Linked DNA regions of Stegostoma tigrinum. The protein of the gene in region 4 purifies or fractionates together with the protein of the main gene of each other region. This does not show direct contact. Links are inferred from orthologs where the notes say so. Each region holds a gene or a part of one and is shown on either strand. Other genes may lie near its edges. The genes, in order: lrp6, tmem59, ghitm and pomk.

Region 1 (7,635 bases), on a different chromosome or scaffold from region 4:
TTTCTAAACTGCAAGTTATATCTTACAAAACTGTAAAACTGTCAAAATGACTTCAGCAATTGGTAGATGAGTGCTCATGCCACTGCACAAGTGCAAACTGGAAATTCTTGCCCAAAATAAAGACTGGTCAGAGATTTCCAAACTGTCTCAGTACATTTGCACAGGTAGTAGCTCGAAAACTGACTTACACGGTTCTAAATATGATATTCCAAAATGTTAGAAACTATCTGAATACAAAGGATGTATTTGATTAAAATAATGGAATGAGAAATACATCAGTTCCATTAACTGGAACTATGGCATAATTAACCTAAACAGTGCTTTAGGCTTTAAATTCCCCACCTTATTCCCCCCCAACTCTATTTAATTCAGTTGAATTGAAACAGTCTTGTTGCTTTCAATATTTCAGTGCTGTAGGGAATCTTGAATGAATTGTTATTGAAAAGCAGAAACAGTGAAATTTAATTTTAAAAAACCTGCGTCAAATTAGAGATTACTACAAATAAATTTTCAGATTTAACATATTCCAAAGTGGCAAACATGGCATTTTCAGAGATAATAGGAACTGCAGATGCTGGAGAATCCGAGATAACAAGGTGTGGAGCTGGATGAACACAGCAGGCCAAGCAGCATCAGAGGAGCAGGAAGGCTGACGTTTCGGGTCAAGACCGAAACATCAGCTTTCCTGCTCCTAAGATATTGTATTTTCAGTGCAACTTTACAGGATTATGACTATAAAATACAAAATTACAATTCCAGAATGGCTGTATACTTAAGATTACATTACTACTCTGGATAAACAGAATTATAAACATCATGGATACCTGGTGTGAATTAAATTGCAGCAATGTAATCACAGACTGCCCAATACCTTTATGACGACATACCAACTAAAACTAAATTACTTCAACAGTAATCCTCACGGAAATAAGCTCTTTGAGATGTCGAAGGTATTGCACATTTCAAATTGACATCCCAGAATGTTTGGAATCAATACAAAAGGCAATAAGGTCAAGTCCTTCACCAGACTCCCCGTTCCAACTAACTAATGGAACTGCACAATAATGAGAAAAATAACTCAATTTTTACACAAATATGACCCCCACCACACCTCGCCATGAAAAATATGGAGTCAATTTTGAGAGCATCAGGTGATTCTGTGCATTGACAACTTACATGCAAAACAAATCACATGGGTAAAGGTGAGGGGAATTTTACCAATTAACCACTTGGATTCTAAACATCTGTTATTATTAATATGCCTGCAATTACGATCAGGCATATAAACTTGTACACTATTTCATATTCAACACCTAGCAGTTTCTCCTAGGATTATATGTACTGCATTGAACTTGTTTTGAAGTATATACAAAATATTCTTTAAAAAAAAACAAACCTGCAGAAGCTGGAAATCAGAAAGAAAAACAGAAGGCTGTGAGGAAGGGTCTCTGGACCTGAAAGGTTAATTGATTTCTCTCCACAGATGCTGCCAGACCTGCTGAGATTTTCCAACAATTTCTGTCTTTATTCGTGACAAAATATTTAAAGCTTCTTTCACTTAATCTGTCATGTAGGCAACATGTATTTAAAAATTACCTTTTTCTAAAAAATAACGCAAGTTCTTTCACCTTCCAAGATTAGTTATATTAATCTAATTGCAAATTAACTAGTACCTACCTGTCAGGGTTCCTCAAAGTTGCAATCCAGAATGTGAACATGTGAAATTTGGAATTGCACTATTAATAAAGTAATTTGTCTGTGGTATATGTGTAACCAGATACAAGGCTGCACTCGAATTACCCATGAACGATTTGTTAGCCCCCGAAAGATATCTTTCCTGCTTTTGTCGACAATGACTTAATTCACGTATGTTTTACAGGACTACCTGTTGCATTTGCCTAGAACTAACGTGTTCAACGAATGCAGGACTGAAAAAAGGTGTCAGTTATTGTTTAATAAAATAATTAAATTTGAAATCTGATCTGTAGCCCTGTAGAGAATGTGATTTTAAAGAAAGCTCTTTCTGATCAGCTATTATGAATAAAATAGAATACGGTAAAGAAATATGTCTCCAGAAAAGTTGTAAAACGTATTTAAAGCAACCCGAGTGCACAGCCGAAATTCTTTTATTTGCTCTTACAAGCAGGCCCTTCCTAAAACAAAACTAAACTGCTCTTACAAATGAATTAAGATTTCGAATGGACAGATCGGATCCGTCCGTCTGTTTGTTCGGGAACACTTCGATCGGCTTTTAGTGCTCCATAAACAACCAAAAGATGGTAAGCAGATGCTTAAAAGCATTGCAGAAAAAGTTCCAGCAGACCCGTTCCTCCCCATTGAGCACCCTGCGCTGTGTTTTGCCAAGCATTTCCCCCGCACAAAGTGGCAGCACTCCTGAGTGAGAGAGAGAGAGAAATCGCGGCATTCATTCCACCTCACGGCCGGCTCTCTATCACACACACACACACACAAAACCATTCCAGCAGCTAAAAGCGTTGAACGACGTTAGAGTTTATAGTTGAACCATTCGCCTTCCAATATAAATGGCAATGCATGTAAACCGGGGCAGAGAAAGCCCCTTCACCTTTCCCTTCTGCCCCCGTAGACAGCCAACCCCCCCCCCCAACGAAACACACACACACACCATCAGCCCCCTCGCGGGCCCCTCACAGTAACATGCAAGACCGTTCTCACTCAGCCTCCTTTTTTTAATAAAACCAAGAGAGAGGGCCAACCAATCTTTTAACTTTTACTCACCCCTTATCAAAGAGCAAACGCTGCACAACAGCAAACTCCTCAGCGCGGTACCCATGTTTCCCCTCCCCCCCCCCTTCTAGGCAGTCAAAGAGAGCTCAACGTGGCGCCACATTGAAACACATAGTTACAATTCCTGTGACTTTGGGCAGCGCTACAAAGTATCTCGCTCGCCAGCCATGGTTCCGTGGCCTCTCTATCTCCGCTCACCGTCGGCGCAAGCACACGCCTCCTCTCCCTCCGCCACTAACACCCTCCCTTTTCCTTTGCCCTGTTTCTCTCCCGGCGTACTATTTTCTTTACGGCAAGCTCGCTGGGAAAGAAAAGAGCCTTTTTAGTTCATTGTTCCTCCCCATGTGCCCCCTCCCGGGTGTGTAAAAAGATATATTCCCCCGCTCAGTCTCTCATGCATCTTCTTAACCGAGGCTTGGAGCGAGCCTTCCCGGGGATTTCTTTTGCAGCAGAGAGTGGTGCTCTGCCTTAGAACAACATAACCATTTGACCTGGACTGCGGCGCTACTTTTTTTTAATACTAGAGCATCAAGTATCCTTTGTACATGGCTGCGCGTTCAGGTAGTGTGTGTAGGAGGTGTGGGAACGAGGAGACGGTGTTAGGGAGATGGGGACGGTGTCTTTACCCACGTTAATGAAAGAGAGATTACTGCAATTAAATCGAAGGAGCGGGTGGGCTGGGCAGCGGGAAATCACATCTTTGCATTGAAATGTCGCCGTCAAAAATCCTTCCAAAGATGCTCTGGTTGAGAAATTGCGACAACATTGTGAAGAGTGATTTTTCACGCTCAAATAAATATACACGCGTAAAATAAAATTCGTTTTAGATAAAATTGTTATTTCTTTCCTTTCTTTAAAAGGTTTTAATGTGATATGAATTCCAAGAACCTCTTCCACGAATTATCCATCCATATAGGTTTAAGAAAAACGAGAACTTGCCGTCAGCAATGAAAGAAAACGAACAATTCCAAAACATTTCACACGTTTTTGTTTCTGGCATTAAAAATGATTAAACTCAGTTTAAATGTCTTACTGAGTTTATCTATGAGAGAGCTAGACCATGACGACGAATACATTTGGTCATAAACTGGAGATGGTTCTGCATCCGTGCTGGACTACGTGTTAAATCAGCAGCCTCAGAAAATCAATGCATGTAGTGCTCAAATAAAACAAAGAACTGCGGATGCTGGAGATCTCAAAGAAAAACAGAAATTGCCGGCGAAACTCAGAAGCAAGAGTCACCGAACTCCAATTGTTAACATTGCTTCCTCCTCACAGATCATGCCGGACCTGCTGAGTTTCGGCAGCAATTTCTGTTTTTGAGTTGGCACCGCTCAACACTTAAAACAAAAGTATGTGAAGAAAGAAAAACAAACAAAATGATACGCATTTGTTTTTGTGAAAGAAGCGAAAATAAATTAAGTTTAGGTGGTTTGGAATATGAAGCAGCTCCCCCCGCAGTGTTGCTCAGGTCAGCCAGACGGAAGAGGACCATGTCGTGGTCAGCAGATCTGACAGTATCTGCGGAGAGAGAAACCGAATTTAGACGGCAAGGCGAATACGATTTTTAGTGAACTCAGCCAGAGAAAACATTTTTATTTTAGATATTACCAGGTGTCATAGTATTTTGTAACCAAGTAATTTACCACAAACAGTAAGAGATAATTGTTCAGCGTCAGAGCAAGTAAGGATGCTTTTTAAGGTCTGCAACATTCAGACTTGGTTTTGGAGGTTGAGGGTCTGGGAGGTTATGTTATAGACCAGACTGGAATTTGGGAAGGCATGGAAAATTACGTAAGAGCTAAATTGCTGCAGATTTGGGGCAGTACCTCAATGGTTAGTACTGCTGTCTCAGAGTACCAGGAACCTGGGTTCATATACCAGCCTTGGGTGACAGTCTGTGTGGAGTTTGCATGTTCTCCCTGTGTCTGTGGATTTCCTTCCACAGTCTGAACATGTGCAGTTTAAGGCCATACTAAATTGCCCATAGTGCCCAGGGATGTGTAAAATTAGGTGGATTAGCTATGGGGGAATACTGGGTTATAGGGTAGGGTGAGGTGGTGAGTCTGGATGGGGTGCTCTTTAGATAGTTGGTGTGGATTTGTTGAGGTGAGTGGCCTGTTTCCACACTAGCAAAAAAAACATGTCTGTAAGACCAATTGAGGTGAGAACCTGGGAATTCCAACTCTATCTGCAAGTTATCAGGAGGAAGTTGAAAAAATATGCCTGCTCAACCTCATCTCTCTCTCTTCAAGTTTGTCTTCTGCCCACTAATCCTTATGTTTGTTCTTACTTCCACTTTCTCCTTTCCCGTACTCCCTGTTCAATGTTTTACATGCCCACCTCATTTGACATTCCCATGACCACTATTTTCCTTCTATTCAACCTCCCCTAACCTCTCTTTACTTCTCTTTACCTCATTCTATGTTTTGTCTCATTCCTCTTTCTTTCCTCTCTCTTTCCTACCCTGTACACCTTTTCCCCCTTGGTTCGCAAAGCTTTTATTGAGCATTAGAAATCGCAGTCATTTCAGAAAAGAATGTACTAAACGTGAAGCATTTTCAACCATCAATGGGATTTCACTTGCTAACAGCATTTTTGCGCTACATTGAAAATATTTACCAAAATAATGTATGCTAGGTATTTAGTGTCAGTTAAATATCAACATCATAATCTTAATCTTAAGTAAGTAACTTGTATGACAATAAATTCCACAAAACTCGGTTGCAATGAGAAATTCACATAACTGTAATAAGGAATACAGAAAATGCTGGAAATACTCAGCAGTTCTAGTAGCAACTGTCCAGTGAGAAACTCTTCAACACTGTTAAGGGCAGGACTGAAGGCAGGCGGGCATGGAACTACAAACTGGCCTGTATACCAATTACCTGCCTCCATCCCATCCTGGCCATTTTTTAGAAGGTAGGAGTGACAATAGGGAGGTTGAGGGAGCTGGGCTACTCATCTGTAAGAGTTAGATAACCTAGTGAGCTAATTTAAGGGCTTTCTGGAGCCTGGTATCAGTGGCCAACTAGCATTTTGCAGTCAGCCTCATAAGCCCATAGAGGTGACAGGGGACATTTTAGCTGACTGGTGGTGGCCTTCTGGCTGTCCATAGCTACTTGGGTTCAGAGTAGGCACATTGCAGTTTAAATGTGAAAAAGTTGGAAAGAAGGCATTTTTTATTCATGGGATGTGGACTTCATTGGCTGGGTCACCATTTATTGTTCATCTCCAGTATCCACTGAGAAGTTTATGGTGAGATGCCTTCTTGAACTGCTGAAATCCATTTGGCATAAGTCCATCCACAATGCTGGTTGGGATGGAGTTCCAGGATTTTGATCCAGCAACATTGAAGGAAAGTAACATTTTTTCAAGTCAGAATGGTGTGTGACTTGGAAGGGAACCTGCGGGTAGTGGTCTTGCCATGTATCTGCTGCCCTTGTCTTTCTATATGATAGTGATCATGGGTTTGGAAGAATCCTGTCTAAGGGTCTTTGGCAAATTTCTGCAGTGCATTTTGTAGATGGTACACACTTCTACTGCTGAGCGTTGGTGGTGGAGGGAGTGAATATTTGAGTTGCCAATTAAGCGAGCTGCTTTTTCGTGGATGGTGTCAGGCTTCTTATTGGAACTGCACTCATCCAGGCAACTTGGGAGAGTTCCATCACAACTCCTGACTTGTGCCTTGTGGATTATGGACAGGCTTTGGAGAATCAGGAGTTGACTTACACACTGCAGAATGCCTAGCCTCTGGTCTGCTCTTGTAGCCACAGTATTTATGTGGTTAATCCCATTCAGTTTCTGGTCAATGGTAGACCCAGAATGTTGATAGTGAGTAATTCAGCATTGGTAATAACATTGAATGTCAAGGAGTGATGGCTAGATTTTCCCTCGATAGTGATGATCATTACATTGCAATTGTACAAATGTTACTTGCTATTTGTTAGGGGCGGCACAGTGGCTCAGTGGTTAGCACTGCAACCTCATAGTGCCAGGGACCCGGCTTCAATTCCAGCCTCGGGCAACTGTCTGTGTGGAGTTTGCACATTCTCCCTGTGTTTGTGTGGGTTTCCTCCCAGAGTCCAAAGATGTGAGGTGAGGTGGATCGGCCTCGCTAAATTGCCCGTAGTGTGTGGGTTATAGGGGGATGGGTCTGGGTGGGATATTCCAAAGGGCAGTGTGGACTTGTTGGGCCAAAGGGCCTGTTTCCACACTGTAGGGAATCTAATTAATCTAGTCCAAGCCTGGATATTTCCACATCTTGCTGCATTTGGATATGGACTACTTCAGTATCTGAGGAGTCTGTGTTGGTGCTGAACGTGCCCACTTGTTAACTTATGATAGAGATAATGTCATTGATGAAGCAGTTAATATGGTTAGGCCAAAGAAACTAGACACAGGAATTCCTGCAGAGATGTTCTGAAGCAGAGATGACTAACCTCCAACAACTACAAACATTTTCTTTTGTGCCAGGTATAACTCCAACTCATTTACTCCTTGATTCCCATTGACTCCAGTTTTGCTAGGGATCCTTGCTGCCACACTAAATCAAATGTGACTGTGATGCCACAGGCAGTCACTCTCACCTCCTCTCCAGAATTGAGTTATTTTGTCCATGCTTGAACCAGAAGCTCAGTAGCCCTGACTGAACCCGAACTGATCACAAGTGACCACGTTATTGCTCAGCAAATTGTGTTTGATAGCACTGTTGGTGGCAACTTCCAGAACTTTACTGAGAACAGAGAATAGACTGATGGGGCAGTTATTGATTAGGTCAGATTTGACCTGCTTTGTGTATAGGACAAACCTGTCAATTTTCCACATGGCTGGGTAGATGTTAGTGTTATACCTGTTCTGGAAACAGTA
Region 2 (7,243 bases), on a different chromosome or scaffold from region 4:
CTGATTAAAAGTTTAACTACCACACACAAAAGTTCAAAAATACTGTTTGACTTGATCACACTGACATTTATAGCTCAGGTGTGACATAAGCAACAGTCTTTTTTGTATGATTGAAGGAAAATTTCATTGCCTTATTGAAAAAGAGTTCCAGTCATTTGTTCAACTTTTAAAAGTTATTTTTTTCTCCCAGACAGAAAAGCCAGCCAAATATCTAGGGGAAAAGAAAAATTACTCTTTGTTGAGAATTAAGTGGTGTAGTGAGGGATGCTCTGCACTTGCCAGAAATGATGAAACGGACAACAGCAGGTTTTTTTTTTTAAAAAAAAATCAGGTCTCAGATCAAAGCCAACAGAACGAATGCAATATGCATCTTACATTTTTTTTTTAAAAAGCACTGCAGGAAAGTAAGTCAGCATGTAGTAATAAATTTGGTCCTTAAATTTCTTAACAGAACTATTTTGAAGCCAGAAAGGGTTTGCTGTCTTGGCTGCAGCCAATAGTCCGTGTACTTGCAATTGAAGTTTTCAAAAAAACCTTTTCAGAAAATTCTAATATGATCTGACCTGTCACCTTAATCTCAAGTGACATCACAATGACAGCAGTGACAGAAGTTACACTTGATTTTTCAAAACCACAAAGTTTCAACATGTTCCTTAAAAACACCCAAAATATTTAAAATACTTCACTTGTGCCAGCTGTGCTCGTATCACACGAGGGGGGCCCAGGGCAGTAGATGCACAAGACCACCACCATCTGCAAGTTCCCTTCCAAATTAACCTTCCTGGTCTTGGAAAAATGACGGTTCTTCCATGTTGCTGGGGTAAAAGCTTGAAACTCTCTTCTTAACAGCAATCTGAATATCCCAAAACATTCCCATGGACTGCAATGGTTCAATCTATTTTTCTTCAATCTGTTCAGAGATCTGTTCACATCTCTGGGGTAGGTGAAACTTCAACTTAGGTCCCTGGGCTCATGGGTTGGGACACTACCACCATAACTGAGCCCTGACAATGGTTCAAGGCATAAGCTCATGACTATCACCACCTTAGAGCCAATTAAACCTGGGCAGTGAATGTCAGATGCTTACTTAACCATGATCATGCCACATGTTACCTCCCCAAACTCAACCAGGAGCATGACAAACTTAAATTCAACACTTTCCTTCAACTCAAGTCTCCCAACCAAGCTACTGAGAAGTCCTCACAGATAAAAGATTTCCCTGGCCAGCATGGTGAGTCACTCATTGGAATGAAATCTAATTCCTAAATTCAGGAGGAGGTTAGGCACAGGCCAACTCAATATATGCAAAGTGTGATGGTTAAATGTAACCAAATCACAAATCATACAGTAACTTAAATAATTGATTGATAGCTATTTTGGCACATGTGACAATAAAGAGTGAAAAGCTTTGCTTACAAGTAGTACAGACAGACCACAGTGCGCAAAATATGTATAGACCAAAAAGACCTAGGAGGTATACAAATTACATTGCACAGAGCATGTGCTAGGAGAGATCAACATTAGCAAGATCAGAAGTATTTGAGGCTACAAAATCCATTCAGTCTGATAACTGCTGGGAAGAAGCTCTTCCTAAACCTACTTGTGTTTAGGCTTCTGCATCTTCAGCCTGACAGAAGAAATTGGAGGAGATCATCACTGGGGTGCAATGGGTCTTTGATGATGTTGGCAGCCTTTCTGCAGCAGCAAGCCACATAAGTGGAGTCCATGAAAGGAAGGTTGGCTTCGGTGAAGTTCTGGGCTGTGCACAACACCTTCTGTAGTTTCTTGCAGTCCTGGGCAGAGCAGTTGCCATACCACACACTCAACACATTACATTAGGATATGTTTATTTTATTAGGCCAAAACAGCTCTCAAACTCCATACTTACAAGACTATCTAATTCAGGCACCCACTGAGATACCTCACAATGCAAAACTTCTGACTCCTGCTGCAGGCATGACAAAGTGGTGACTGAACCCCGGATCAATACTGTACAAGGCAAAGAATGGCTGAGCCCTGGTTTCTAATTTTTTTTGACAATTTCAAAACTCCAAACCAAATAAACTCATTTGTTTCAGATAAAAAAAACGGCCCGTACACGATGTTGGTTAATTAAAGGGAGATAAATCGTGTCATGAATTGAACATTGACAACAAAGTTTAGAGCTGGATGAACACGACAGGCCGAGGAGCAGGAAAGCTGACGTTTGGAGTCTAGAACTTTCTTCAGTAACCCAGCATCGGCAGTTTCTACTGTCTGTTTGAATTGGTCATTAAATGAGTTTCACACAAAAAAATACAACAGTGCAAATGACGAATAAATGGAGACAGCAGCGGTTATATTCACACACACTGGAATGTATTCGATGTGCGTTATCATGTAAACGACGGCCACAAAGCTACTGTCAAAAGGCCAGAGCAAGGGGTAAAAATAAACGATGTCACGTGAACGTTTTATAGAAAGACTTCACTGCCAGCTTTCGAGCAACGAAAAAAAACATATTCCGGTTCCTCTCGAGTAGTGCAACTTTTCGATCGTTCAGAGTTAATTACTTCTCTGTGCAACTAACAACCTCGTTCGAAACCCCCATCCCCAAAAAGGGCTCGCCAACTCAGTTCAAATGTTCGAACAAATAAATTGCAGATTTCAACCATCTGGATCACACAAGCATTCCTTGGCGCGAAAATAAACCCAAGGGGACTAACAGAAGTATTAACAAAGAAACAGCCTTCTTAGGCTAAACACAGGCCTGTCTCTACCCCTGGCCAACCGGGCAGCCTTACCTTCGGGTAAGTATGCAGGCTGTAAGTCATCTCGCAGCTTCTCTGACACGACGCCGTGTCACCTAAAACCGCTTCGAAAGCATCGGAAGCCAGCGACGGGGTAGAGAAGGAAGACAAAGCAAACCCCAAGCACAGTAGAAGGCTAACGACAGAAGCTCTACAATGGAGCTGTCCCGCTACCTCCGCCATCTTCAGTCTGTTTGTTGTGATCCAACCCACAACGCACACACGCCCTCCAACCACCCTCAGTGACCTCAACTCTTATTGTCCGCTCTTTGTTTTTGAAATTTGTATGACCCTCATTTAACCGAGATAGAGCCGAACTACAAAGCCAAGGCTTGCTTTTGGACTTTGTGTTATTTATAGATAATTCCTTCTCTAAATTTTTTTAACTTCAAAATCATCGCCGGAAATTGTCTGCGTAGGGGATGCTGGGATATGTAGTTTTTTCCCCTGGATTTTTAAGCATGCGACTCCCAGCATGCACCGGGCGAGGACGCTGGGGAGAGGAGGTGGTCGTTGCTAATGGATCGCTTTGTGAGGAAGGGCCGGGATCTGAGCCTAGCGCTGCACCCAGCTAAGGTTTATCGCCAGGTCACTCTCGAGTCTTTAAAGGTAGAGTCCTGGCTTCTCTGGCACCGTCGAGTTACTTGGGTTAAATTGTAAGGCCGGATGCTTTTATTTTTAAGTGCAGGTTTTTCTTGCGAGCTGCCCTCCCCGTTGCCTGCTGACCCTCAGCTGCAGTTTATTGTGTCGCGGCAGGAGAAGGCTGTTGGTGCTCAGTTAAATATTCCCCCGTTACGGGCATGTTTTTCAGAATCAAGGAAAGGCTGGAGATGGGAGAGATTTTATTAGAGAGTCGCAGATCAGTGTCTTTTCCATCACACGCGAAAGAAAACAAAATTGGCAGAGAAACTCAGCAGGTCTGGCAGCATCTGTGGAGAGAGAAACAGAGTTGACGTTTTTTCGGCTCCAGTCTGAAATTCTGAAGAAATCACACTGGACCCGAAACTTGACTCTGCTTTCTCTGCACAGGTTTTGTCAGACCTCTGAGTTTCTCCGCCAGTTTCTGTTTTTGTTTCAGATTTCCAACAACTGCAGCTCTTTTGTTTTATTTTATGTTAATCCGTTTTCCACAGTGTGCAGAATGCCCTGGCAAACTACCCAGCTCCACCCTCCCTTTGTTCCCTCCTGAAAGTGCTTGAATGGTTCTCATCCCCAAATCCATACCTGCTTTTCATGGAATTCCATGTTTGAATTCTTCTGTTCAAGTTTCTGCCTTTGATGCATGACAAAATGACATCCTTTGTGATCGACAAAGGGCGAACTTCCTTCCTTATCTTTATCAGATTCTCCCCAACTTTGACATCATCAGCTGCACCATCCTCCCCTCATGCTTCTTAACTCAGCTGGATCGGTAGGATTACCTTCACTTGGTTATGTTCTTGTCTATCGAACCACAGCCAGAGAATCACCTGCCACTAGCTCTGCTGTTCTTGAAGGTCAGCTTCCCTATTACTCTGCTCCATCACCTTGCTGCTGAACCCAACCCTCTTCCAGATACCTGCCTGAGGCTAAATCTGACTTTTGCAAATTTAATGTAGTTTTTCATCCCATGATAAGATCCTGACTCTGTGTGTACAGTAGGACAGCCTATTTTTATGCCAATTACATTGACTTTACAGAAGGAGAGGATTAAATAGCTTTGAAATATGAATTTGGGGGAGAATTCAAAAAGACAGAAAATAACATGATGAAGAATTTCTTTTGATGAACTTAATTAGGAAAAGGTAGAGAATTTGGGGAGGCACGTTTCGAGAGGAAAAGGACCAAAAAGTGATATGGGGAAACTTCTAAGAAAGAAGAGGTAGGAAGAGAATGTGAGTGTTGGATGGTATGAGGTGAGGGCAAATGGGGGAAAAAATGGTAAAAATTATGGAAAGACTCTATGAACCTTAAGTTCACCTGGACCATCTCCAATATATCTCTCTCCCCTTTCCGGACCCCTTTATTTCTATCTCTGGCAATGACCTGGAAACCGACATCCAGTTCAAGCCTACCAACTCCCACAGCTACCTAGAGTACACCTCCTCTGACCTACCTTCCAGCATAAAGGCAGTTTCCTATTCCCAAATCCTTTGCCTCCACCGCATCTGCTCCCGAGATGAGGCATTCCACTCCCAGACATCTTCATTTTTCAAGGACCGCAACTTCCCCCTCCACAGTGGTCGAAAACGCCCTCGACCGCGTCGCTCGCATTTCCCATAACTCATCCCTCACACCTCCTCACCACAACAATAACCAAAACAGAGTCCCCCATGTCCTCACGTACCACCCCACCAACCTCCAGATCTAACTGGACCCCACCACCAAAGACATTTTTCCCTCCCCACACTTATCTACTTTCCGGAGGGACCACTCTCTCTATGACTGCCTTGTCTGCTCCACGCTCCCCACCACCCCGGCACATTTCCCTGCAACCGCAGGAAATCACTCCCCCCCCCCCCCCCCCCCCCACCCCCATCCCAGGCCATAAGAAGATCTTCCACATCAAACAGATGTTCACCTGCACATCTGCTAATGTGGTGTACTGTATCTGCTGTTCCCGTTGCAGCCTCCTCTACATTGGGGATACCAAGCAGAGCTTGGGGACCGTTTTGTAGAACACCAACATTCGGTTCGCACCAAACAACTGCACTTCTGTGAACTATTTCAACTCACCCTCCTACTCCTTGGACAACATGTCCATCCTGGGCCTCCTGCAGTGCCACAGAGATGCCACCGAAAGGTTGCAGGAACAGCACCGCATATTTTGCTTTGGAACCCTGCAGCCCAACGGTATCAATGTGGACTTCACAAGCTTCAAAATCTCCCCTCCCTCGACTGCATCCCAAAACCAACCCAGCTCGTATGCGCCTCCCTAACTTGTCCTTCCACTGTCCACTCCTCCCACCTCAAGCCCCACCCCCATCTCCTAACTACTAGATTCATCCCACCCCTTCAACTTGTGAGTCCTCCCTGGACTGACCTATCCCCTCCCTAACTCCCCACCTACCCTCACCTTTCCTGGCTCCAACCTCACCTCCTTGACCTGTCTGTCGTCTTTCCACCTATCGTCTCCTTTATCCATCTTCTGTCCGCCTCCCCATCTCTTCCTCTTTATTTCAGAATACCCCATCTCTTCCCCATTTCTGAAGAAGGGTCTAGGCCCGAAACGTCAGCTTTCCTATTCCTCTGCTGCGTGGCCTGCTGTGTTCAATCCGCTCTGCACCTTGTTGTCTCATATTCTCCACCATCTGCAGTTCCTACTATCCCAGTGAACAATGTATCCATCTCTGGACAAAGCAGACCTCGTGATGGTGAAAATTGCCCCCAACACTGCTGCTGGCCAAGCTCATCTGCTGCCGAAAATCTTGCCTATGTCTGAATTATCTTTTAATTTTGACCATCCCGATGCCACCCTGGACAAACTCCAGGTTCTACCCTCTGTAAATCTGAGGTCAGCCAAGACTCTGTTGGCCATGCTCTCTGCTAACTGACTTACTTTGGCTCCTGCTAAATATACTTCTTCAATTTTAAAATTCCTCACTCGCTCTTTGACATCTGTCTTTGCCATTTCTCTAATCTCTGCTAGCCTCTCAGCCCACCAAGATGTCTGCATATCTAATTCTTGTCTCTTGTGGGTGTTCAATTTTAATTACTCGACCAACAATTGTGCTTTCAACTACCTGAGCTCTAAACACTGACATTCTCTCCTTTAAGGTCTCTATTTGTTTCATCCTTTTAATGTACGTTTTAAAATTTAACTCTTACCAAAGTTTTGGCATCTGACCAAATATAATGTGTAGTTAAAATTAAAGATATTTACCCTTGCTTAGCTGATGTACCATTTATCTAGTGGTTAAGGTTGAATTCTGTCGCTTCTACTTTTGTTACAGTAAAAGTTATCTTATTATTGCATATTTTGAGGAATTTGTCACTTTAAAATGTCAAGTTTTTGGGATCATCATAACAAATATACATACTATCCTTAAATCATGTCTATAACTTTGGATGATCTGCATTTTTGTCAGTGTTTACATTTTTTGCAATTTTAATTCTTAATGTCCATGGCTTTACAATGCAAAATATGTTTGATTTCCTCCTAAACCTTAAACACTACAGACGTATTACATGATTTTGATATTTTTTGCTGAAATAGTTTTTGGGTGATGACTATTGTTTTTATTCTCCAAACAGAGAGTTGTGGTGATTGAAGATATTAAGAGATGTAAGTCTATTTTGGAACTGCCTAATCAAACAAAGGAAAACTTAATGGAAGCATTAAATGAATTAAAGAAGAAAATACCTTCACAAGAAGTATTGCTGTCAACTAAAATAGGTGAAGATTATAACTGCACAGTTCTTACTTTCAAGATTGTAATTTGACATCTGACAAACTTTTAAAATTATGATATTAG
Region 3 (7,597 bases), on a different chromosome or scaffold from region 4:
ATGATGGAGGCAGAGGAACTGGGAAAATGGAATAGAGTCTTTACAGGAAGCAGGGTGTAAGGATGTATAGGTGATAATGGGAACTGCAGATGCTAGAGAATCCAAGATAATAAAATGTGAGGCTGGATGAACACAGCAGGCCCAGCAGCATCTCAGGTGCACAAAAGCTGACGTTTCGGGCCTAGACCCTTCATCAGAGAGGGGGATGGGGTGAGGGTTCTGGAACAAATAGGGAGAGAGGGGGAGGCGGACCGAAGATGGAGAGAAAAGATGATAGGTGGGGAGGAGAGTATAGGTAGGGAGGGGATAGGTCAGTCCAGGGAAGACAGACAGGTCAAGGCGGTGGGATGAGGTTAGTAGGTAGATGGGGGTGCGGCTTGGGGTGGGAGGAAGGGATAAGGTGAGAGGAAGAACCGGTTAGGGAGGCAGAGACAGGTTGGACTGGTTTTGGGATGCAGTGGGTGGAGGGGAAGAGCTGGGCTGGTTGTGTGGTGCAGTGGGGGGAGGGGACGAACTGGGCTGGTTTAGGGATGCAGTAGGGGAGGGGAGATTTTGAAACTGGTGAAGTCCACATTGATACCATTAGGCTGCAGGGTTCCCAGGCGGAATATGAGTTGATGTTCCTGCAACCTTCGGGTGGCATCGTTGTGGCAGTGCAGGAGGCCCATGATGGACATGTCATCTAGAGAATGGGAGGGGGAGTGGAAATGGTTTGCGACTGGGAGGTGCAGTTGTTTGTTGCGAACTGAGCGGAGGTGTTCTGCGAAGCGGTCTCCAAGCCTCCGCTTGGTTCCCCCAATGTAGAGGAAGCCGCACCGGGTACAGTGGATGCAGTATACCACATTGACAGATGTACAGGTGAACCTCTGCTTAATGTGGAATGTCATCTTGGGGCCTGGGATAGGGGTGAGGGAGGTGGCGTGGGGGCAAGTGTAGCATTTCCTGCTGTTGCAGGGGAAGGTTCCGGGTGTGGTGGGGTTGGAGGGCAGTGTGGAGCGAACAAGGGAGTCACGGAGAGAGTGGTCTCTCCGGAGAGCAGGCAGGGGTGGGGATGGAAAAATGTCTTGGGTGGTGGGGTCGGATTGTAAATGGCGAAAGTGTCGGAGGATGATGCGTTGTATCCGGAGGTTGATAGGGTGGTGTGTGAGAACGAGGGGGATCCTCTTAGGGTGGTTGTGGCGGGGGCGGGGTGTGAGGGATGTGTTGCGGGAAATACGGGAGACGCGGTCAAGGGCGTTCTCGATCACTGTGGGGGGGAAAGTTGCGGTCCTTAAAGAACTTGGACATCTGGGATGTGCGGGAGTGGAATGTCTTATCGTGGGAGCAGATGCGGCGGAGGAATTGGGAATAGGGGATGGAATTTTTGCAGGACGGTGGGTGGGAGGAGGTGTATTCTAGGTAGCTGTGGGAGTCGGTGGGCTTGAAATGGACATCAGTTACAAGCTGGTTGCCTGAGATGGAGACTGAGAGGTCCAGGAAGGTGAGGGATGTGCTGGAGATGGCCCAGGTGAACTGAAGGTTGGGGTGGAAGGTGTTGGTGAAGTGGATGAACTGTTCGAGCTCCTCTGGGGAGCAAGAGGCGGCGCCGATACAGTCATCAATGTACCGGAGAAAGAGGTGGGGTTTGGGGCCTGTGTAGGTGCGGAAGAGGGACTGTTCCACGTAACCAACAGAGAGGCAGGCATAGCTGGGGCCCATGGCCACCCCCTTAGTCTGTAGGAAGTGGGAGGAGTCATAAGAGAAGTTGTTGAGGGTGAGGACGAGTTCAGCTAGGCGGATGAGAGTGTCGGTGGAGGGGGACTGGTTGGGCCTGCGGGACAGGAAGAAGCGGAGGGCCTTGAGGCCATCTGCATGCGGAATGCAGGTGTATAGGGACTGGACGTCCATGGTGAATATGAGGTGTTGGGGGCCAGGGAATTGGAAGTCCTGGAGGAGGTGGAGGGCGTGGGTGGTGTCACGGACGTAGGTGGGGAGTTCCTGGACCAAAAGGGAGAAAATGGAGTCCAGATAGGTGGAGATGAGTTCGGTGGGGCAGGAGCAGGCTGGTCAAAACACTTGCTTCCAGGTTAGGATAAACAGTACAATAGCATTAAGAGGAGAAACTGAAGGTTATTCAGTTTTCATTTTCAAGTCAAGATAACATTAACACAAAAACGTGGGGCAATAGATACCTAGTTTGATTCTAACTCATAGCATTCACAGTTGAGATCTGAACAATAATCACATGGTGCAATACAGACAGTCAACTGCCTCACACAATTACAATCCTGCCATCCCATGAGCAAAGGATTAGAAGCAGCACAGAAAATGAGAAGCCAAATCCAAAAAACAGACGGGAGGGAATTGTGAGATAACAAGTACAATCTTCATCAAGTTCACAAGAGATATTAGTGGATCTACCCTGTATTGCGATTTCAGACGGATGAACAGTAGGTATGACATTAACAGTCAAACAGCTCTGGCTCAGAAACCACAACTCTGTTCCTCTGTGTAGGAACCCAAGCATAATCTCTTCAGGGGCATGGGGAATGGGGGAGAATAACGTCTATCACCCCGGGTGGCGGGGAAATAATCACTCTCACCCTGAGGGGGGAGGCAGGCTGGGGGGTGGGGACAGACAACCTCTCGCACCCCGGGGGAAGGCAGGCTTGGGGGGTGGGTGGTGTGGGGAGAAACAACCTCTCTCACCCCGGGGGGAGGTGGGGTGGGGGTGGGGACAGATAAACTCTCACACCCCGGGGGGGGGGGGGTGGGGAGATTATGTCTCTCATTCCGGTGGTAGGAGGGTTAACAACGTCTCTCACCACGTGTGTCTCGTTCCCCGCCGGGGGGGGGGGGGGGGGGGGGGTTTGGATTCTCGCTGAGCCGGGCCCTATCCCAGTTGCGGGGGGAACGGTCCCTCACCTCTCCGGCTCCAGTTGCTGCGCACTCACTGTCGGCTTCTTTCCGGAACCTTCTCCAGGGGGTAGACGCATGCGCCGTGGCGGCACTACAAGGCCGAGAATGCCGTGGGGAGCGCGAGCGTACGTCACGTGCATCGCTGTCTTTGTTCTGATTGGTGAAGCGGCGAGCGTCTTCAGCGACCACCAATGATTGGGCCTTAGAGTTTCCTGGGCAACAGGGGCTGGGGAGTGATTACCCCGTGCCCTGGATACCCCAAACACCGCCCCCCAACCTGAATCCATCTCCACTCTGACCCTCACCCTCACCCCATCCCAACCCCCAATCTTCATCCCCTCCAACCTGAATCCATGTCCACTCTGACCCTCACCCTCACCCCATCCCAACCCCCAATCTTCACCTCCCCAACCTGAATCCATGTCCACTCTGACCCTCACCCTCACCCCATCCCCCAATCTTCACCCCGCCCAACCTGAATCCATCTCCACTCGGACCCTCACCCCATCCCATCCCCCAATCTTCACCCCCTCCAACCTGAATCCATGTCCACTCTGACCCTCACCCTCACCCCATCCCAACCCCCAATCTTCACCTCCCCAACCTGAATCCATGTCCACTCTGACCCTCACCCTCACCCCATCCCAACCCCCAATATTCACCCCCCCAACCTGAATCCATGTCCAATCTGACCCTCACCCTCACCCCATCCCAACCCCCAATCTTCACCTCCCCAACCTGAATCCATGTCCACTCTGACACTCACCCTCACCCCATCCCAACCCCCAATATTCACCCCCCCCAACCTGAATCCATGTCCACTCTGACCCTCACCCTCACCCCATCCCCCAATCTTCACCCCGCCCAACGTGAATCCATCTCCACTCTGACCCTCACCCCATCCCATCCCCCAATCTTCACCCCCTCCAACCTGAATCCATGTCCACTCTGACCCTCACCCTCACCCCATCCCATCCCCCAATATTCACCCCCCCAACCTGAATCCATGTCCACTCTGACCCTCACCCTCACCCCATCCGCCAATCTTCACCCCGCCCAACCTAAATCCATCTCCACTCTGACCCTCACCCTCACCCCATCCCATCCCCCAATCTTCACCCCGCACAACCTGAATCCATCTCCACTCTGACCCTCACCCTCACCCCATCCCCCAATATTCACCCCCCCAACCTGAATCCATGTCCACTCTGACCCTCACCCTCACCCCATCCCAACCCCCAATATTCACCCCCCCAACCTGAATCCATCTCCACTCTGACCCTCACCCCATCCCATCCCCCAATCTTCACCCCTCCAACCTGAATCCATGTCCACTCTGACCCTCACCCTCACCCCATCCCATCCCCCAATCTTCACCCCCTCCAACCTGAATCCATGTCCACTCTGACCCTCACCGTCACCCCATCCCAACCCCCAATATTCACCCCCCCAACCTGAATCCCATCTCCACTCTGACCCTCACCCCATCCCATCCGCCAATCTTCACCCCGCCCAACCTAAATCCATCTCCACTCTGACCCTCACCCTCACCCCATCCCATCCCCCAATCTTCACCCCGCACAACCTGAATCCATCTCCACTCTGACCCTCACCCTCACCCCATCCCCCAATCTTCATCCCCTCCAACCTGAATCCATCTCCACTCTGACCCTTACCCTCACCCCATCCCATCCCCCAATCTTCACCCCGCCCAACCTGAATCCATCTCCACTCTGACCCTCACCCCATCCCATCCCCCAATCTTCACCCCGCCCAACCTGAATCCATCTCCACTCCGACCCTCACCCTCACCCCATCCCCCAACCTTCACCTCCCCTCCAACCTGAATCCATCTCCACTCTGACCCTCACCTTCACCCCATCCCATCCCCCAATCTTCACCCCACCCAACCTGAATCCATCTCCACTCTGACCCTCACCCCATCCCAACTCCCAATCTTCACCTCCTCCAACCTGAATCCATCTCCACTCTGACCCTCACCCCATCCCAACCCCCAATCTTCACCCCGCCCAACCTGAATCCATCTCCACTCTGACCCTCACCCCATCCCATCCCCCAATCTTCACCCCCCCAACCTGAATCCATCTCCACTCTGACCCTCACCCTCACCCCATCCCAACCCCCAATCTTCACCTCCCCAACCTGAATCCATCTCCACTCTGACCCTCACCCTCACCCCATCCCCCAATCTTCACCTCCCCAACCTGAATCCATCTCCACTCTGACCCTCACCCTCACCCCATCCCCAATCTTCACCCCGCCCAACCTGAATCCATCTCCACTCTGACCCTCACCCTCACCCCATCCCAACCCCCAATCTTCATCCCCTCCAACCTGAATCCATGTCCACTTTGACCCTCACCCTCACCCCATACCCCAATCTTCACCTCCCCAACCTGAATCCATCTCCACTCTGACCCTCACCCTCACCCCATCCCATCCGCTAATCTTCACCCCGCACAACCTGAATCCATCTCCACTCTGACCCTCACCCTCACCCCATCCCCCAATCTTCATCCCCTCCAACCTGAATCCATCTCCACTCTGACCCTTACCCTCACCCCATCCCATCCCCCAATCTTCACCCCGCCCAACCTGAATCCATCTCCACTCTGACCCTCACCCCATCCCATCCCCCAATCTTCACCCCGCCCAAACTGAATCCATCTCCACTCCGACCCTCACCCTCACCCCATCCCCCAATCTTCATCCCCTCCAACCTGAATCCACCTCCACTCTGTCCCTCACCCTCACCCCATCCCCCAACCTTCACCTCCCCTCCAACCTGAATCCATCTCCACTCTGACCCTCACCTTCACCCCATCCCATCCCCCAATCTTCACCCCACCCAACCTGAATCCATCCCCACTCTGACCCTCACCCCATCCCAACTCCCAATCTTCACCTCCTCCAACCTGAATCCATCTCCACTCTGACCCTCACCCCATCCCAACCCCCAATCTTCACCCCGCCCAACCTGAATCCATCTCCACTCTGAACCTCACCCCATCCCAACCCCCAATCTTCACCCCGCCCAACCTGAATCCATCTCCACTCTGACCCTCACCCTCACCGCATCCCCCAATCTTCACCTCCCCAACCTGAATCCATCTCCACTCTGACCCTCACCCTCACCGCATCCCATCCCCCAATCTTCACCCCGCCCAACCTGAATCCATCTCCACTCTGACCCTCACCCTCACCCCATCCCCCAATCTTCACCTCCCCGACCTGAATCCATCTCCACTCTGACCCTCACCCAATCCCATCCCCCAATCTTCACCCCGCCCAACCTGAATCCATCTCCACTCTGACCCTCACCCTCACCCCATCCCCCAATCTTCACCTCCCCAACCTGAATCCATCTCCACTCTGACCCTCACCCTCACCCCATCCCATCCCCCAATCTTCACCCCGCCCAACCTGAATCCATCTCCACTCTGACCCTCAACCTCACCCCATCCCCCAATCTTCACCTCCCCAACCTGAATCCATCTCCACTCTGACCCTCACCCCATCCCATCCCCCAATCTTCACCCCGCCCAACCTGAATCCATCTCCACTCTGACCCTCACCCTCACCCCATCCCCCAATCTTCACCTCCCCAACCTGAATCCATCTCCACTCTGACCCTCACCCCATCCCATCCCCCAATCTTCACCCGCTCCAACCTGAATCCATCTCCACTCTGCCCCTCACCCTCACCCCATCCCCCAACCTTCACCTCCCCTCCAACCTGAATGCATCTCCACTCTGACCCTCACCTTCACCCCATCCCATCCCCCAATCTTCACCCCACCCAACCTGAATCCATCTCCACTCTGACCCTGACCCCATCCCATCCCCCAATCTTCACCTCCTCCAACCTGAATCCATGTCCACTCTGACCCTCACCCTCACCCCATCCCATCCCCCAATCTTCACCCCCTCCAACCTGAATCCATGTCCACTCTGACCCTCACCGTCACCCCATCCCAACCCCCAATATTCACCCCCCCCAACCTGAATCCATCTCCACTCTGACCCTCTCCCATCCCATCCGCCAATCTTCACCCCGCCCAACCTAAATCCATCTCCACTCTGACCCTCACCCTCACCGCATCCCATCCCCCAATCTTCTCCCCGCACAACCTGAATCCATCTCCACTCTGACCCTCACCCTCACCCCATCCCCCAATCTTCACCTCCCCGACCTGAATCCATCTCCACTCTGACCCTCACCCAATCCCATCCCCCAATCTTCACCCCGCCCAACCTGAATCCATCTCCACTCTGACCCTCACCCTCACCCCATCCCCCAATCTTCACCTCCCCAACCTGAATCCATCTCCACTCTGACCCTCACCCTCACCCCATCCCATCCCCCAATCTTCACCCCGCCCAACCTGAATCCATCTCCACTCTGACCCTCAACCTCACCCCATCCCCCAATCTTCACCTCCCCAACCTGAATCCATCTCCACTCTGACCCTCACCCCATCCCATCCCCCAATCTTCACCCCGCCCAACCTGAATCCATCTGCACTCTGACCCTCACCCTCACCCCATCCCCCAATCTTCACCTCCCCAACCTGAATCCATCTCCACTCTGACCCTCACCCCATCCCATCCCCCAATCTTCACCCGCTCCAACCTGAATCCATCTCCACTCTGCCCCTCACCCTCACCCCATCCCCCA
Region 4 (6,931 bases):
CTCTCCACATATGCTGCCCAACCTTCTGAATATTTTCAGAACTTTCTGTCTTAATCGAGGATTGGAGAGGGAAGAGTTTACCTGCTTCACAGCACCTCGACCAATCAGCTTCACCACAGTAACCTCATTCTGAATCACCTCGCAGGACAACCAGGAGAGGCAGTCCTTCATTCCCCCCAGCCGGAAGTGACCATACGAGCATGAATCTGAACTATTGTCTACTGGTCCCTTTGTCCATGGCAAATGGTGCAGGAGTTCCATCCGGAAGAATGTGGTGACTGAAAGCAGAGCCGCAACAAGAGATATGAGAGCCAGCGTCACTCTCAGTAGCATCGGAGGGCTGTGGTTACCAACCGTTGCCCTCTGCATCTTCAAAATTCTTGGTCACCTGTATAGAAATGATTCATATTGCAAAAGAGTGAGTCCATGATAGCTTCTTACTCTAAGGCTAAGAATGATGATGTATGTCCCTCCTGAATGGGGATATATGGGCAGATCTTGACTGGGTGGGGAGGTTGGGAGTACCAAAGGACTATGTGAAGCCTAGCTGATTGCTGCAGAGGGAAGGAAATTTGATGAGTGTGTGTGTGACTGGAACCGTTGCATTGCAGATGAATGCATTTTTAAAGCGGGTGTATATATACTCATGTGTATATTGTATTTTACACAAAATGTAAATATGAACAAGGTTTCTTCCAACATTAATGTGCTGAAGAGACTAATGAGATTCATGTGGTGAATGCATCTTTCTTTAAACGGGAAGGAGAGTTTTATATTGGACGTTTCAGAGATGAACATTAATTAAGGACTATGCATGAAATGTTGGCTTCACTGACTGGGTTACTATTTATTTCCCATCCCTATTTGCCCTTGAGAAGGTGGTGCTCAGCTGCCTTCATGACCATTGAAGTCCATTTGCTGTAGGTAGACCCACAGTGCAGTTAAGGAGAGAGTTTAAAGATTTTAATTCAGCAACATTGAAGGAACAGTAATATACTTCCGAGTCAGGACGATGAACGGTTTGGAGGTGAGCTCACAGGTGATGATGTTCCCATCTGTCTGCTGCCCCTGTCCTTCTTGGTAGAAATGGTCATGGGTTTGGAACCTCGGTGGGTTTCTGCAGTGCACCTTGTAGAAGACACGTACTGCTGCTACTGAAAGCTGAGAGTGGGGATGTGGTACCTGTCAAGTGGGCTCATTTGTTTCTGGATGATGTAAAACTTCCGAATGTTGTTGAAACTGCACTCATCCAAGCAAGTGGGGAGTGTTCCACTCCTGACTCGTACCTGTAGATAGAGGACAGGCTTTGCGGACTCAAGAGGTGAGTTACTTGTTGCAAGTCTCCAAGCCTCTGACCTGCTCTTGTAGCCACTGTATTTGTATGATTGGTCCAGTTCTGTTTCTGATCAGGGGTAGCACCCCCACCCCACCCCCAAGGATGTTAATAGTGAGGAATTCAGAAATGGCAATGCCATTAAATGTCAAAGAACAATGGTCATGTTGTACAGTTGCCAACTCTGGGTAGACATTCCTTGACCTTCAACCTTTACTTGCTTTGCCCATGCAAAATTGCCACCTTCCCCCCAGTATTTCTATAATCTGAAGTGTAAAAATGATATGAAAAGCAAACACGGTTTTATTAGTACCTCTATCTATCCTAATGAGGAACCTGGAGGTTCTCCTTTAATTCCGGGAGGGTTGGCAGGGCTGCTTCAGTCCACTGTTCGGTCGCTCTGTTGTCGGCCTGCAGGGTCTAATGTTCAATGTTCCGTCTTCTCCGTCTGACACAGGATGAACCGAGGCCGGATCGAGCCTCTCCCGGAGCCGAAGCGGCCTCTCAAGCCCGCCGTGTGTCTGGGAGGAGCAACCCGAGCCCGAGCCGGCCCGCTCGCTGCAGACAGACCGGCAGCAGGGATGAAGAGCTGCCCCCTCCGCCCGTTAACCGGCACCCGTCCCCGCCTAAAGATCACGGACAAGGCGCTGTACCATCGCCCGGAGTCCACCGCAGCCAGTGACGAACTCAAACACACGCACAGAATAAAACAGATACAAGGCTATAGACACAGAATAAAACAGATACAAGGCTATACACACACACACACAATAAAACAGATACAAGGCTATATAGAATAAGATAGATACAAGGCTATACAGAGAGAGAGACTAAGATAGATACAAGGCTAATACACACACACACACACACACACACAGAATAAAACAGGTACAAGGCTATAGACACAGAATAAAACAGATACAAGGCTATATAGAATAAGATAGATACAAGGCTATACAGATAGAGAGACTAAGATACAAGGCTAATACACACACACACACACACAATAAAACAGATACAAGGCTACACACAGAGAGAGAATAAGACAGATACAAGGCTATACACACAGAGGAAATAAGACAGATACAAGTCTAACACACACAGAATAAGACAGATACAAGGCTGATACACACAATAAGATAGATACAAGACTAACAGAGAGAAAATAAAGACAGATACATGCCTAACACAGAGAGAGAACAGGATAGACGCAAGCCTGAGAGAGAGGAATAAAGACAAACACAAGCCTAGCAGAGAGAGAGAAATTGGAAACCCCAAACCCTGACTGAGAACAAGTCAGTGATAAAACCCAGGCACTAAGGGATAGAATCAGGCAAAGACACGGACTGAACCAGTGAGAGACACAGCCCCAACCACATACACACATACAAAATAATAAACACAAGCCTAACAGGGAGGCAGTGCAATTCAATTCCAAGCCAGTGAGAACAGAACTAAAACATAATGAGAAAAACAGAATTACAGTCACAAACTGAGAGAGGCACAGTGAATTACATAGACAAGACCAGGCATCGACTCATTCAAGGAACATGACGTGAAGATAGGGACCAGAGAGATACAAGCCTATTAGAGACAAGTCTGAGAAAGAGACACACAAACCCAGACACCATTCCTGAGTCAGACAAAAAGACTCAAACCTAAGCATAGCGAATGAAAGAGGCAGATGGACGCACTTGGGCAGAAAGACAATAATCCAGAGGGAGACGTAGATACAGATACAAACCCAGACATAAACAGAGGCACAACTGAAAAAGGCAATCTCCAGGCCATGCAGACATAAACCCAGATAAGCAGTCAGAAAGATCCAAGGCGGCACATTAAATTGGATTTTAATGAGCTGTTGAGCTCCACAGAAATAAAGTCACATGCTGTAAATATTTTGAGAAAATGTGAGAGGTGATGGTGTGCTAAATCAGGACCATTTCTGTGAAATCAAGCACCTAGATTATCAAAGGGAAAAAAGACAATGGAGGACAGGTGGATAGGGAGAACAAACCATTCTGGAAAAGCAAGGAAAGAATGCATTAGTGTCTTTTGCCATAAGTCCTCATTTCAGCTGCAATGGTGTAATGAGAATCAACAGGTAAGAGCTGCTTAGGAGTAAGGAACAATTAGAACTAGATTGACTGCAGTGTTGATCAAATAATGAGAAACAAAGTAACAAATAAAAGATATAGAAGAATGAAAAAAGCATCAGATGAGTTTTCTTTTGACCTGTCCAGGAATGTCTGATGATCAAAATTTGGGCAGATATGAGTTTTATTGAGAGGGAAAATTGAGATAGAGGCAGCTATTAGCAATAGAATTGTGAGGTGCATTTAGAGTCAGAGCCATTCAGAGTGTAACTAGACCCTTCGGTCTAACTTGTCTGTGCCAACCATACATCCCAATCTGACCTAGTCCCATTTACCAGTGTTTGGCCCATATACCTAAAACCCTTCCTGTTCATATACCCATCCAGATGTCTTTTAAATGTTGTAATTGTACCAGTCTCCACCATTTCTGGCAGCTTGTTCCTCTGTGTGAAAAATATTATTCCTCAGATCCCTTTGTAATCTTTCCCCCTCACCTTAAACTTATGCCTTCTAGTTGTGGCATTCCTAGCGAAAAGACCTTGGCTATCCATCCTATCCATACCCGTCATGATACAAGGAAGCTGAAAATATCAAAAGAGAAAGAAGAAGGAGCTTTCACACAAACTGCAATTGTCCAATTCACATCCAGCTTCTCCTGTCCAGCTGTCCAGATCCAAACACTGCAAGACAATTACTGATGTTCTGCCCTCATTCATACAGGACAATGCCATATACGTGAAAAAAGAAGCAGAACTGAATCAACAGCTACTAAGGATACCTGACATGTCCTGTGCACTACAGACATGATCCAGTACATCATGGGATTTGCTGGAGTGGAGCTTGTATCATCCTGTGTCATTGAGACTAAGGGCTCATCTAACATCTCAGTGAAGGCACAATGGGCTGAATGACCTCTTTTAGCAACTTGATTCTTCTAAGATTCTGAAATTGTCCTCCCTTCTGAATTAGCAGCTTGACTTTATGCTGCTTTCTGGAGCTTCAGGTGGTGTAGTCACAAACTTCTTCCTTTCCAACTGAGCCCTCTCCCCTCACTCCACTGGTTTTCTGCTTTCATTCACACAACAGCTGTCATCAACTACAGTCCAAAAGTGAATGGGCTCTGCCACTTTACTTATCTTTATCTCTGCCACCAGTTCAGATATTAGTACTGAATGTACTTCAGGTGCCCACACAAAGTTGGAATCTGCATGTTAAGTCAACGGGCTTAAGTGAGGCTATCACCAAATAAGAGGATAGTTTGTGTGGGAACTCACTGAAGGGAGAACTTGGATAGATTCTGTTGCAGGGTTTTCGGATGAGGTAGGACAAACACGAGGGAATGTTGATGAGAGTGCTGTCAGCCTCTTGTCACTGCTAAGGAGCAGGGAGGTATGCAGTTCTGTTTGATGGGGCTTTAAAAGAGTTTCCCCCTCTGCAGCTTGTGCTCCATTTCCTTGTCATCTCTTAGACCTAGAAGCAACTGCAACTGCTGTTTGCTACATGTTGCATGTATGTATAGGTCAGTAAAACTCTGCCTGCCTTTTGAAGATGCAGCAATACTGTTAAATTCAGGAGCTCCATCAACACAAAACATAGGGCCAACACTCATTGCAGTACTGAGTGAGTACTGTGCTTTTGGAGGTGCTGCCTCTCAGAAGATACATTAAACAGAGGCTCCATCTGTCTGCCTGGGTAGACAGAAGATTCCATTAGGGTTCAGAAAATCTTTACAAGGATGTTGCCAGGGTTGGACCTCTAGGGAGAGGCTGAATAGGCTGGGGCAATTTTCAGTGGCGCATCAGAGGCTGAGGGATGACGTTATGGATATTTATAAAATCATGACAGGGCATGGATAGTGTAAATAGCCTTTTACTCAGGGTGGGGAGTCCAAACCCAGAGGGTATAAGTTTAAGGTAAGAGGAGCAAGATTTAACAGGGACAACTTTTTCACACAGAGGGTAGTGCAAGTATGGAATGAACTGCCAGAGGAAGTGATGGGCACTGGTATAATTACAACATTTAAAAGGCATTTTGATGGATACGTGAATAGGAAAGGTTTAGAGGGATATGGGCCAAATGCTGGCAAATGGGACTGGATTAATTTAGAATATCTGGTTGGCATGGATGAGTTGGACTGAAGGGTCTGTTTCCGTGCTGTACATCTCTATGACTCTATCAGAAGTGTTATCCCCAATGACTCAGTCAACATTTGTCCCTCAATAAAATTCACAAAACAAAAAAAGTGTCTGGTCATTTTATTGCTTTTTATGGGACATTGCAGAGTGGAAATTGACTGTTACCTTCCCTATGTCACAAAGATGACTACACTGTGAAATGCTTTGGGATGTCAGATGATCACTAAACATACTACATAAATGTAAGCTGGAGTTACTGTGATCACTATGCAGAGGGCTTCTGCCTTCAACGTACTTGATGATTTGAATTTCACACAACACTTTCTGACCCAAACGGCAATGCAGTCACTAATTAATACTGCCTTTTTAATTAGTGAATGATTTAAATCAAATAGCTTCATGCATTCAAAATCAGAAATTACTGGAAAAACTCAGCAGGTCTGACAACATCTGAGGAGTGAAAGCAGAGTTAACATATCAGGTCCAGTGACCCTTCAGAACAGTCCAAAGGACTTTGATTCTGAAGAAGCGTCACTGGATGCAAAACATTAACTCTGCTTTCTCTGCACAGATCTGCTGAGTTTTTCCAGCAATTTCTGATTCTGTTTCTGCTTTCCAGCATCTGCAGTTCTTTATTGTTTTTGTTTCATGTATTGTTTTTAAATGTAAATGACATGAGAGAAAACACATCACTTCACAAGATTTTATTGACGGACAGTAAAATCTGTACAACACTGTAGCTTTGTGAATATTTCACTGCAGTTGTGACAACTAAAAAAAGTAATTTTAAATAAGTTCCAATATCCCCCTAAATAAAGCTGATTTAGTAACAATTATGTTCTCTTGCTTTGTATTTAGTTTATAAGTGTGGATTAAAGGCAAAAACGTGATAATAACATTGTTGTAGAGTTGCTGTTTATTCCTTAGCTTTGTGCTTCAATATATATACACGTACAAAATGTTATGTTTTTACACATTTACATGCACAAGGGTGCGGTGTAGATTGATGTTAAGAAAATTAAAGAGGAATGTGAAAAAAACAACCACTTTTTGCCCTTTTAACTAGGAGATACAAACTACAGAAATAGTTTTCAGTTATTGCAGCCTTCCTGAAGGGGTGCTTCACTTTCCGTAGGTTCAGTATCTTCCTGCTTAACACCATACTTCTCTTTCAGGCATCTTGCAAAGTATCTCCAGTACTCCTGCCGGATAGTGTCCTTTTTTACAGCAAGACACTCACACAGCTGAAAGAAATCAGAATCAGAAGATTTAAAAAAAATAAAATTTTATCCATTTCCTCCCCAAATTCATTAAATCTTAACTTCCCAAACTCATTTCAATAACCTTTATTAATGCAGGGCCTTTAA

The links.
Region 1: the proteins of pomk (region 4) and lrp6 purify together in Homo sapiens (affinity purification with mass spectrometry; 3 studies listed by BioGRID and IntAct, counting the BioPlex papers as one, with this or other methods). This does not show direct contact. The link is inferred for Stegostoma tigrinum from reciprocal best matches to the Homo sapiens genes POMK and LRP6.
Region 2: the proteins of pomk (region 4) and tmem59 purify together in Homo sapiens (affinity purification with mass spectrometry; 3 studies listed by BioGRID and IntAct, with this or other methods). This does not show direct contact. The link is inferred for Stegostoma tigrinum from reciprocal best matches to the Homo sapiens genes POMK and TMEM59.
Region 3: the proteins of pomk (region 4) and ghitm purify together in Homo sapiens (affinity purification with mass spectrometry; 3 studies listed by BioGRID and IntAct, counting the BioPlex papers as one, with this or other methods). This does not show direct contact. The link is inferred for Stegostoma tigrinum from reciprocal best matches to the Homo sapiens genes POMK and GHITM.

Annotation. Positions count from the first base shown.
Region 1 is NC_081371.1:27,847,810-27,855,444, reverse strand, and holds the start of lrp6 (low-density lipoprotein receptor-related protein 6), read right to left. Parts: upstream 3,001-7,635; 5' UTR 2,813-3,000; coding exon 2,758-2,812; intron 1-2,757. UniProt on the Homo sapiens protein: Component of the Wnt-Fzd-LRP5-LRP6 complex that triggers beta-catenin signaling through inducing aggregation of receptor-ligand complexes into ribosome-sized signalosomes.
Region 2 is NC_081361.1:41,411,652-41,418,894, reverse strand, and holds the start of tmem59 (transmembrane protein 59), read right to left. Parts: upstream 3,012-7,243; 5' UTR 2,973-3,011; coding exon 2,784-2,972; intron 1-2,783. Other genes in the region: tceanc2 (transcription elongation factor A N-terminal and central domain-containing protein 2), read left to right, coding at 3,309-3,398, 7,023-7,164.
Region 3 is NC_081390.1:4,683,597-4,691,193, reverse strand, and holds the start of ghitm (growth hormone-inducible transmembrane protein), read right to left. Parts: upstream 3,017-7,597; 5' UTR 2,905-3,016; intron 1-2,904. UniProt on the Homo sapiens protein: Plays an important role in maintenance of mitochondrial morphology and in mediating either calcium or potassium/proton antiport. Mediates proton-dependent calcium efflux from mitochondrion.
Region 4 is NC_081354.1:14,842,989-14,849,919, forward strand, and holds the start of pomk (protein O-mannose kinase), read right to left. Parts: upstream 3,015-6,931; 5' UTR 1,647-3,014; intron 389-1,646; 5' UTR 370-388; coding exon 82-369; exon of another isoform or gene 40-81; intron 1-39. Other genes in the region: fnta (protein farnesyltransferase/geranylgeranyltransferase type-1 subunit alpha), read right to left, coding at 6,656-6,808. UniProt on the Homo sapiens protein: Protein O-mannose kinase that specifically mediates phosphorylation at the 6-position of an O-mannose of the trisaccharide (N-acetylgalactosamine (GalNAc)-beta-1,3-N-acetylglucosamine (GlcNAc)-beta-1,4-mannose) to generate phosphorylated O-mannosyl trisaccharide (N-acetylgalactosamine-beta-1,3-N-acetylglucosamine-beta-1,4-(phosphate-6-)mannose).